3 linked regions of the Neurospora crassa OR74A genome follow. The protein of the gene in region 2 binds, or shares a complex with, the protein of the main gene of each other region. Links are inferred from orthologs where the notes say so. Each region holds a gene or a part of one and is shown on either strand. Other genes may lie near its edges. The genes, in order: NCU09561, NCU09261 and NCU02631.

Region 1 (3,600 bases), on a different chromosome or scaffold from region 2:
CGCTTGCTAGACTCACCTGTTTCTGCGAGTACAAGCCCAATCAGGAGCCATGCGTCATCCGCTCTCTCTCCGCTTCTTCGCCAACTTCACTATTACCATTCTCCTTGCCTGCAACATAGTCTCTGCCTTTCATGTTGAAGATCTCCTTTACACCTTGCGATCGCTGAGTAAGTCTCGAGTACCAAGCTCAAGATACCGGAAGCTCTAAGCACTGACGACCCCCTCCCTCATCACAGAAGATGCGCCATCCGGTAGCGCGGTTCTCAAAGCCCGCAGCTCGAACTTCACCGCTCCTGCTTCCGCTCCGGCTTCCAATGGCACTGTTGGCTCCTCCCATCCTGACTCGACGGACAAAAAGGAAGGGGGGCTTGGCCTAGGTGGTCTGTTGCATAACCTCTTCGGCCGCCATGATACGTCCACCGCCATTACTCTCAATATCCGGGCCTCAAATAGCACCGTAACCCCTGCTGGTGTTTCCAACGGCACTATCCTTGGCGGTGCCTCCCATCCAGACGCGGCAACCAAAGGAGACCACGGATCCCTTGGACTTGGCGATCTCCTTCACAAGATCTTCAATCACCACAACACGCCCACCATCCCTGGTCCTCTCGCTGGCCGCAGCTCGAATAGTACTGTCCTTCCCGCTGCCGCATCCAACGGCACTGTGCCCACCGGCTCTTCCCACCCGGATGCAGCAACAGAAAAGGGACAGGGGCTCGGACTGGGTAGTCTTTTGAGCAAGATCTTTGGCCGTTCTGAACCTGTGCCTGTGTCTGTCGAGCCTGAAGATGTTGACGAGGTTGACGGCGAGGTTGGTATGCTTATGAGTCTCAACCGCCGTGCCAAAAAGGACGGGGAGAATAGGCTGAGCCGTGAGGAGAGGAGGAAAAATCGGGAGAAGAGGCGTGTGAGAAGGGCCATGTCTGCTGCAACTGAGTCTAAGAAGGAGGAGAGGCATGTTGATCGCTCCAGAGTGTCCCGCGGGTGAGGGTGGTGGCTAGTCGTCGGCCAAGCCAATTTGAGCTTCGGCTATCTTGTTAAATATTCCATAGACCGTGATGGACGAAATAGTGGTATACCCAAATGAAGGATCCGATGTCGCTCGCTAGTCACCCACCAATTGACGAAGTCCGAGTTAACAGAGAGTGCCGAACCTCATGTCCTCTTAATATCTCATGAGTCTTCCTCATTATTAGGCCAGATGGTCTGCTGTGCCGCTGACAGCACAACTCTGTGAAGATCAGCGATGCGTAGGATACTCATCCGGCGATAGCAGTCCAAGTCCGCCATACTTCCAGGGGAGGGTGACACAACTAAACCCCCAAGAATCCTGTCTCCTTCGTGGTATCCCGATGCTCTCGAGCCGTGATAATGACTGATCCACAGCTTCGTCATGGTAAATGAACTTGGGAGGTCGCCGGTGGCCTGTTGTTATATACTGCATCGAGCGCAGTCCGAGAATCATGGAGGATGCTTGAACCGAAGCGCTGGTTCGTTGCGAGGTAAAGACCGATCGGGCGCCAGCGGTAGCAACAACGCTCCAACAGTACCACTCCACTCACCTCTTCTTGACATTCTCCATCCACTCCTTGCTCGCCTTCGTCCCATCATGTGCACTCCTAAACAGCTTCCTCTCCCACTCATCCAACCCTCTCAAAAAGTCCTCACCAGCGCCTCCCACGCCCAAATTGCTGGCATTATCGTCCTTCGTCGCCTTCCCCTTGCCCTTTCCTCCGGCTCCTCCGCCATCTCGACCATGATACGAACTTCCGCCCCCACCCACCTTCCTAGCATGCAACGCAATCTCCGCCGCCCTCGAGACAAACGTTTTCCTTAACACTGCGCTCAGCTCCGGCTCCTCTGACAACTCCATCATGTGCGTGGCGAGGGCGTAGAAGTGGGCGCTCTGATCGCGCAGCGGCACGGAGCGCGGGTCGGCTTTCAAAGCTTGGACAACGTCGTTACCCAGTGCCGGGGGCAGGTCGAAGGTGATGAAGGATTTGCTGGACTGTGATGGGTCGTCCATGTCGACGGCGCCCGTATTAGCGATGGCGAGCATTTCAGCCAGCCAGATGGGGAGAGCGACGCGCGAGCCGGACTTAAGGGTGTGCCCCGGTTGGTTGTCGAGATAGCCAAGGTCGGGGACGTCGATTTGAAAGGTACAAGGAATTTTCTGGGGAGGATCGTCGGGTTAGTTGGTGTTTTGGCGTTGGGTGATGATATGGTGGGGGAGGGAGATGGAGGGTACCTCTGCGTCAGTCAGGATCGCATCGATATCGTAATATGACATGGTGGTGATTTTGGTAGCTTCAATTGGACCAGCCTGGCGTTTGGAGATGAGTTGGACAGTGTTGAGTTGGACAACTGACCCAAACCAAGTTTTCGCCAGGATTTCGAGATCAATCAAGGTTCTGGGGAGACGCGCTCTGGAAGTGGGAGACGCGACAGAGGAAGAGCGCCGCCATGCCAAGAGACCGCAATTAACACTGTGGCTTACTCACCACTCAGAGACGGCTCCTTGTTCCACTTTCAGCCACACGAGCCATAGAGGTACCCACCTCTTCCCCTCGGCGGGGTGGGGCTATGACGGAATTAGTTGGAACGGTTTCCATGGAGCTTCCATCATCATCCGAGCTTATTAGATAAGTAAATGGAAAGAGACATTTCCGATAGTCGCAATCAGTCGGCCAATTCACTTACTCTGAGGTAGCCGCCGTCCCATTGATCATCTAATTTTCCTCTTCTCGCACTTCAAGACCTAACCACTTCACCTAATTACTAGTCTTTCTCTCGATAAACAAGCCGTCACAATGTCCGCATCCCTCTTCCGCGCTACTCCGGTCGCCCGCAGCGCTCTGCGCGCCGCCAGCGCCGTTAAGCCCGCCGCTACCTTTGTCCGCGGCAAGGCCACTCTTCCCGACCTTCAGTGTAAGTTCTTTCCTCCAACATTCGCTCGCTTTGCAATGCCCGCTCCTCATTTCAGTCTATCCTCCCTCCGCTTCGGCTTTGAGGAAAAACCCCCCAAGCTAACTCACTCTCCTTTCCCTAGACGACTACGGCGCTCTTGAGCCCTACATCTCCTCCAAGATCATGGAGCTCCACCACTCCAAGCACCATCAGACCTACGTCAACGGCCTCAATTCGGCCCTGACCACCATTGCCGAGGCCGAGTCCAAGGGTGACTTCACCAAGGCCGCCTCGGTCGCCCCTCTCCTCAACTTCCACGGCGGCGGCCACCTCAACCACACCTTGTTCTGGGAGAACCTGGCCCCCGCCTCGCGCGAGGGTGGCGGTTCACCCGATGGTGCTCTCGGCAAGGCCATCACGACCGAGTTTGGTTCTTTCGAGAGCTTCGTCAAGCAGATGAATGCTGCGCTGGCCGGCATCCAGGGCTCGGGTTGGGCGTGGTTGGCCAAGGATAAGGCTGCGAACGGCAAGCTCGCGCTGATTACCCGTGCCAACCAGGACCCTGTTACTGGTAACTATGTGCCCCTGTTGGGCATTGACGCGTGGGAGCATGCGTACTACTTGCAGTATGAGAACAGGAAGGCAGAGTACTTTGAGGCGATCTGGAACGTGATTAACTGGAAGACTGTTGCC
Region 2 (2,765 bases):
TTCAAAGGTAGTAGAGGCGTGGAGGTTGGGCAGGGAGCGCAGGATGGTGATGGCGGACTCGACCGAGGAGGGACGGCGGCCGCAGAGAATGATGTGGTAATTTTGGTCGGGGGAGGTGCTGAGGTGTTTGGCGGTTTCGAAGCCGATGCCACGCGTGGCGCCGGTGATGAGCACAATGGTTTTGGAATCGGCGGCAGCGGCGGTGGTCATGATGCGTGGTTATCGGGTGTACCCGCTGTAGCAAAATGTTGGATTGTGGATGGGGAGGTGAGCAGGTCGTTGTTATCGGTGTGTCCTCGGGTGCTGCTGTTTCGTCGTCGTCTTTGATGCTGTTCGTCTGATCATCGTGAGGTTTCATACCGCCCGCACGTCATTGCGACGTAGCCGTGGGCGTGAACCTTTTCAAAGCTGGCAAACCCGGTCCCAATATTCGTCCCGCAAACACCGACGAGATGGCTGTATAGCAATCGCCCGAGTTTAACGGGGTCGAGCACTGGAATTCCGCCATAACTCCCGTCGTCGATCGGTCGATTTGGTGGTGTTGAGTGACGTCCTGGAGATGAAGCTTCCGCCAACGTCCAAGTTCCCTGATCGTCTCATACCGACGAGCAGAAGCCCATCAGCCCTCATTGTTTGTAGACAGGTTATCCAACCATGGCGGCAGCCTCAAACCAATTCAGCATCCCCCTTTTCCACCAATCCCTTTGCATCTGACCACCTCAGAATGACAATATCCCCCTCTTTGCCCGTGAGCACACCATCGACATCGACTCCATGACATTCAATCTCGGCATCCCTCAACAAGCGAATGAACACGGCCGAGTCGAGGTCAGGACTGTCAATCATGCTGATATTGCCCGCCGTGTCGTTCAAGTTTTGCATCGCGGGCGGGAACGTGCCCAGGAAGGAGTTGAGGTAGTGGTTGTGCAACAAAAGCTGGTGTCTTCGCGCGTACGCCTCTTCGATTTGCGACATGCGTGTTCGGAGGTTATCGTTGGAGATGTAGTGGAGGAGGTGTTTGTCGATCTACCCAATTCTCAAGTGTCAGCATTCTCCTCAGTGACCCAGCAAGTAAAGAGCTCCAGAGGGGGCATACCTTTGCAATCCTCGTCCTCAAAAACGACCTGACCAAGTACTTGAACCTCTCCAACTCGGTCTGGATGACAATCAGGGCGAAATTGGTCTTGGGATCCATGTCGCCCGTCATCTCCTCCACTTTTTCTATCTGCCGCTTGATCTTGTCGTTGATGCGCTCGAACAGCCCGTTGGAGGGCCAGGGAAGCAGTTCAGGTGTCGAGCGCTCGGCGACCCAGGCGCGCGTCAGGTCTTGCAGGTCGCGCGTTTCCTGCGGGATCTGGTGCGAGACGGGGTCGACTTCGCGGAGGATGTCGTCAATGTCCATTGTGGCTTATGGATTGGAGGTGAATTGCGGTGAATTGGGTTGTGAGGCGGGCACAATGGGTGGTTGAAGAGGAGGGGGGACAAGGGAGGGAGGAGGAGGAGAACACAGAGAGTTGTCGCATTTTTCGTGACGGGGATTTCCATCTCTGGTGTGGAAATTCCCTTCAGGCCTCGAACGCGGGGCAGATCCCACCCCGGATTTTTAGGGGCTCGGCGGGCTGTTACGGCGATCATCCAGTGGAGGGCGGTCCATCCCGCTTTTAGTGACGTCCATGTCCGCTGCGTCCCCTAACCTTACAGCAATACAGGGGTCTTGTTGGGGGTGCCCCTGAGTTCATGTAAACAGCAACACGGCGGGCATGAGAACGACATCGTATCGTGGCATGAGGCTTAGGTTTGGACTTGATCATTATTACGTCCTGTGATATCATTGAGTTATCAAACTATAGCAGTCTTTCATGTTACAAGTGACGCCTTTCCTTTTCCCCCATCCAGCTCCTATCAAATTACGCCAATAACCGATACCATCAGAGTGTGTAAGTGCCAAGTCATTCTGTTGACAAAGACTGAGAATTTTCAGGACCCCAGTCGGAATCTGAGGCTCTTGGGGAGTGCATGAACTTGTACATGTGAGCCTCGTTGGGAGCTGGATCGCCTGGTGACATTTCATCAGCGCTACTTGATGTTGGTGTAAGCACCGTTGTGCCGTCGGATGACGAGTCGTCGCTTGTATCGACCCCCAACGCCAAGTCCGAGTCCAATGTTGACGTCTCGACATCATCCATGTTTCTTTGAAGGGTTCCCTCAGTAGTTGGTACTGTGTTCTGGTACAAGGGTCCTGTATTCTCAGTCATTTGCCTGCTTTTCCTCCTAGCGGCAATGGACTGTCCTTCAAGTTTGCTGAGGTTGGGAAGAGGCTTGGAATGAGACATTGAGATCGTGTCCAAACCTATCATAACCTCTGTACCATTAGACTGTCTTTCCTTGGTTTCTTCTGCCGTCGGAATATCGGTCGGGTTGTCGTTGACTTTGTCTCTTTCTCGATCTGCCTCTTTTCTCTCACCACAGCGCTTCCCCTCGTCCTTGACTGATTCGTCTTTGACAATCTCCCTTTCATCATCTGTCCCACTCTCTCTCGATATCACGTCATCCTCTTTCTCCGTATCTTCCTCATGTAGACATACTCCGTCCCTGACCGCGACCTTTTCGTCCAATTTGGCCATAAAATCCACCAAGTACCCTTGCGGTCCTGCTTTTTCATCCGTTGTTTTGATATCGTCCATATTTATTGGTTTCTTGATCCTTACCCGTCTTGTCGTCCCCGTCGGTAGTCCTGTGCCTTTTCCACTAGCCATCCGCTCACA
Region 3 (3,312 bases), about 6.4 Mb from region 2:
ATGATGCGGAAGCGAGTAAAGAAGCACGTCAGTGCAGAAAAGCAAAGTCCTGTGGCTGGAGAGCGGAAGGACAAGAAGGAAGGTAAGAAAAAGAATTCAAGATATGTAGAAAAAAAGCAGCACCTGATGTAACCATGTAGATGTCCGCGAAGAAAAGAAAACGTGACAAATATCCTCAGATAATTTGGGGGAAAAGAGGAATGATGAAAAAGAAAAATAACGACAGGCCGAGCTATCGTAGAAGGTCCGTCCTCGGCTGGAGGCGATTCGAGGAGTACAGGCCGGTGGTGAGAAGCAAAATTCTATGGAGCAATCTTGTCGACAGCAACATACAAGAAGCACCGACCGCGCCATGCTGCATCCGGCCGGAACTCTTTGGCCCCGCCTGCAAAGACTTCGTCGGGCGGGATATCTGATGACTAGTATGTACATAAGCTTCGACGGTTCGGGGTTTCCATGTTGTCCCGTCGTGCGTCGTAGCGTCTATCGTACCTAGCGCCGGAGGAAGACTGAACAAGAACTGATATGGTCTCAATTGATCAGTTGAAAGCCAATGATACTACCTAGCAGTTGCTGGATGGCCTGGACCTGTTGTTTTAGCTGGCCATGGTGGGGTTGAGGCCGTGGAAGGGAAAGGCGTCATCTGCATGATGTAATCCTTGTTCCACCAAGCAGCCTTCCCAGTGCGAATTGGTTTCTCTTTTTTGAAATTGAACACTGCACCCCAGTAACTATCATTCAGCTCCACGTGTGACAGACTGACAGCGAGCACACGGCAATAACGGTCAAAAGTTTACATAACCCTATGACTGTTCTTATCGCCTTCTTCAGATGGGCCCTATTAGCTGTAGTTTGACAAATCAAGGACTAGTCAGTACCTCTTCTCTTTACTCGGGTTGATTCTCAGTATCTGCCATCAACGAAACAATATACTGAAAAAAGGATGTTATCAGCCGCCACAAACACAGTGTTGCCATGCCAGAAAACTTGGCCACTGGTTGGTGAAAAAATTTGAAGGGCCTTGTGAAACCCCTTGCTGGCTGTCACTCCAGCCTCGACGTTCGGCCGTCGTCCACCGCGGCAATTCCGTGTGGGTTCCTGAATCAATGGTCTGGCCGTCAAAGTAACCTTTCCCTCATCCTTCCCGCAACTTACAAACTGTGCTACCGTCTGGTTGTGGGCTCATGGTCCCTTGTCGATGCAAGCACTTCTCAAACCTTCATCAATGGTCCAGCCATTGAGAAAAAGTAGATGGTAACTCCTTGCCCCACAGAGACTCAAAATATTTGGTTGAAGTCACCTTTGGCCGTCGTCGTAGTACAAGGACTGGTCAGCTCTGTGTGTGCGGCGCAACCCTTTTGAGTCGGTCCTTTGCGCTCCCTCCAACATCTAGCTGCTGATCAATGACCATTGCATATGGCTTCTGGTCGAAGCCATTGAGTCCGTCACTCCCTCTCCGGTACTGTTCGGAAGGCGCCACGCCGTCAATGGTCAGGAAAGAGCGAGGGGTCTGTCAACCTGTCGGCAACCGCTGCCGATAGCAGTTTTCCATTGCTGGTCTGCAGCAACAAGCTCCGGTCTCAAATCATCGATGCCAGGTCGATATTGTTCAACCCAGCTTTTGCAAATATCCCTGCACAATCAGACGCTCCACATCTCCTTGCCGGACATAGAATTGACTGTTCTTTGTCAGGTTGATCGCCCTTTAGACATGCGTTAGTTAGCGTGGAACCAAAGCCATCATCTATTCCTCCATCTGTAGCGTAGCTTACCCATATTCGGTTTGGATCTCGCCCGCATCCTTCAACACTCGGACGTCGATAAAAAGGTCTCGTGGGGGTTCGAGACTGCCTGTGAGATCGATATCCGTCCATTGGCCTTTGTAGAGGGCCAACAAATCTCCAAACTGTCGAAAATAATCCTCTTCCTGGGGACTAAGACTGCTGGTGGTCCCGCCCCCTTCATTGCCCTCCGTCACGCCCTTGGGCCCTCCTGTCGTCTGGCCGGCAAGGTCGAGGATATCGGCTCCATTCCACACCAGCTCCTCGAGCTTGTCTGTTCGGATTCGGTGATAGGCGAGCAGACAGCGCTTGTTCCTTCGCATTGAAAGGTGGTTGACCAGCAGCGTGCACGCGGTGGCCTGTTCGGCGGAAGGATCAAATGACCCCTGGAAAGGTTCAAGTAAACTGGCGACGTCTTTGTCAAGATCCCGGATTTCTCGGGCCACTGCACGGACAAGCTCGGTCTGATAAGGTGGAAGATGGCTCAAGTTCTGTGTCCTCTTGGCATGCTGGACCTGGTGATGGTGTGAGTGTTCGTATCCAGGGAGGATGCAGTGAGCTTGCACAAACCAGTTTGTTACCCAAGTCACCGTACATGGGCATGTTTTCGACGTGGCTTAAGTGCCTCTTTGGACAGTTCGAAGCTGAAAGGTGTGATAGTGGAATTGACTATGTGTCTATTTTCTGACGCGTCTCACGTCGCGTCGTTTTCTCGAACAGCCAGGCGGGTGAAGTTCGAGGTTCCGTCTGGATGTGAAACCGTTCTATGGCCACTAGCATATCAAGCGTTGTTAGGCAGATAGGCGCTACAAGATGGTCTAAGCACTGCACTTGAACGCGGGGTGGGCATCAAAAGTCCTCGGACAGCCCTAACCCGAAGCAGAATACGCAGTAGAGGTACGTGTATCCGAACATTTTCTTCGTCCCATTCCCTCTCAACCAGCTGCATACGGCGTGTCCCAAGGCATACGTGCAGTCAGGGCATTCACTAACGTCGGCGACAAGAATAGGGATATTCATAAAGCAAGACGTACAGAGGTAGTTGAAGGGTGATGCTTCTTCTCATGGGCAAAGGCCGCAGTACAGGCCACCGTACCTTTGAAACGAACGTCTCATTTCCTGAAGCCGATACCAGTTCAGAGATACATGTGAAGAATCGGAGTGCCTTCGCACATGGTGCACACATTCTACATGCCCCTACGTCCAAAAGTTACTAGCATTAAGCCCTTGAACAGTTAAGAAATATTCAATAAACTATTGCTAAGCAAACACGATATAATCTATCAACTGTTGAAACCAGCAACCTTCTCGGACCACCTTGATACTCCCACCCGCCCATAACGCACCGGACAATCGGTAATGGTGACGAGGAAAGACTACACTAGGCTCCGTAGGGTTGCCAAATTCCAACTTCAGATGGGCTGCTCCATTGGACAAGCACTCGGCATGCGCAAAGATACAACAACTACGATTCATGAGTTAGCTCAAGAGCTGCGAAAAAGAAGCAATATTCCAAGTTGAATGAGATGCC

Evidence for each region.
Region 1: NCU09261 (region 2) and NCU09561 share a complex: the UniProt entries of both Schizosaccharomyces pombe proteins name them as parts of the GINS complex. The link is inferred for Neurospora crassa OR74A from reciprocal best matches to the Schizosaccharomyces pombe genes sld5 and psf3.
Region 3: NCU09261 (region 2) and NCU02631 share a complex: the UniProt entries of both Schizosaccharomyces pombe proteins name them as parts of the GINS complex. The link is inferred for Neurospora crassa OR74A from reciprocal best matches to the Schizosaccharomyces pombe genes sld5 and psf1.

The regions. Positions count from the first base shown.
Region 1 is NC_026507.1:996,216-999,815, forward strand, and holds the start of NCU09561 (DNA replication complex GINS protein psf-3), read right to left. Parts: upstream 2,425-3,600; 5' UTR 2,291-2,424; coding exon 2,249-2,290; intron 2,174-2,248; coding exon 1,559-2,173; 3' UTR 989-1,558; coding exon of another isoform or gene 237-988; 3' UTR 168-236; coding exon of another isoform or gene 50-167; 3' UTR 1-49. Other genes in the region: NCU09562 (hypothetical protein), read left to right, coding at 50-167, 237-988; NCU09560 (superoxide dismutase), read left to right, coding at 2,651-2,706, 2,783-2,928, 3,050-3,600. UniProt on the Schizosaccharomyces pombe protein: The GINS complex plays an essential role in the initiation of DNA replication.
Region 2 is NC_026501.1:9,371,009-9,373,773, forward strand, and holds NCU09261 (DNA replication complex GINS protein SLD5), read right to left. Parts: upstream 1,403-2,765; coding exon 1,097-1,402; intron 1,027-1,096; coding exon 667-1,026; downstream 1-666. Other genes in the region: NCU09262 (hypothetical protein), read right to left, coding at 1-210; NCU09260 (hypothetical protein), read right to left, coding at 1,950-2,765. UniProt on the Schizosaccharomyces pombe protein: The GINS complex plays an essential role in the initiation of DNA replication. Has a role in chromosome segregation and is required for bir1 localization.
Region 3 is NC_026501.1:2,993,508-2,996,819, reverse strand, and holds NCU02631 (DNA replication complex GINS protein psf-1), read right to left. Parts: upstream 2,566-3,312; 5' UTR 2,385-2,565; coding exon 2,352-2,384; intron 2,297-2,351; coding exon 1,773-2,296; intron 1,704-1,772; coding exon 1,610-1,703; 3' UTR 736-1,609; downstream 1-735. UniProt on the Schizosaccharomyces pombe protein: The GINS complex plays an essential role in the initiation of DNA replication.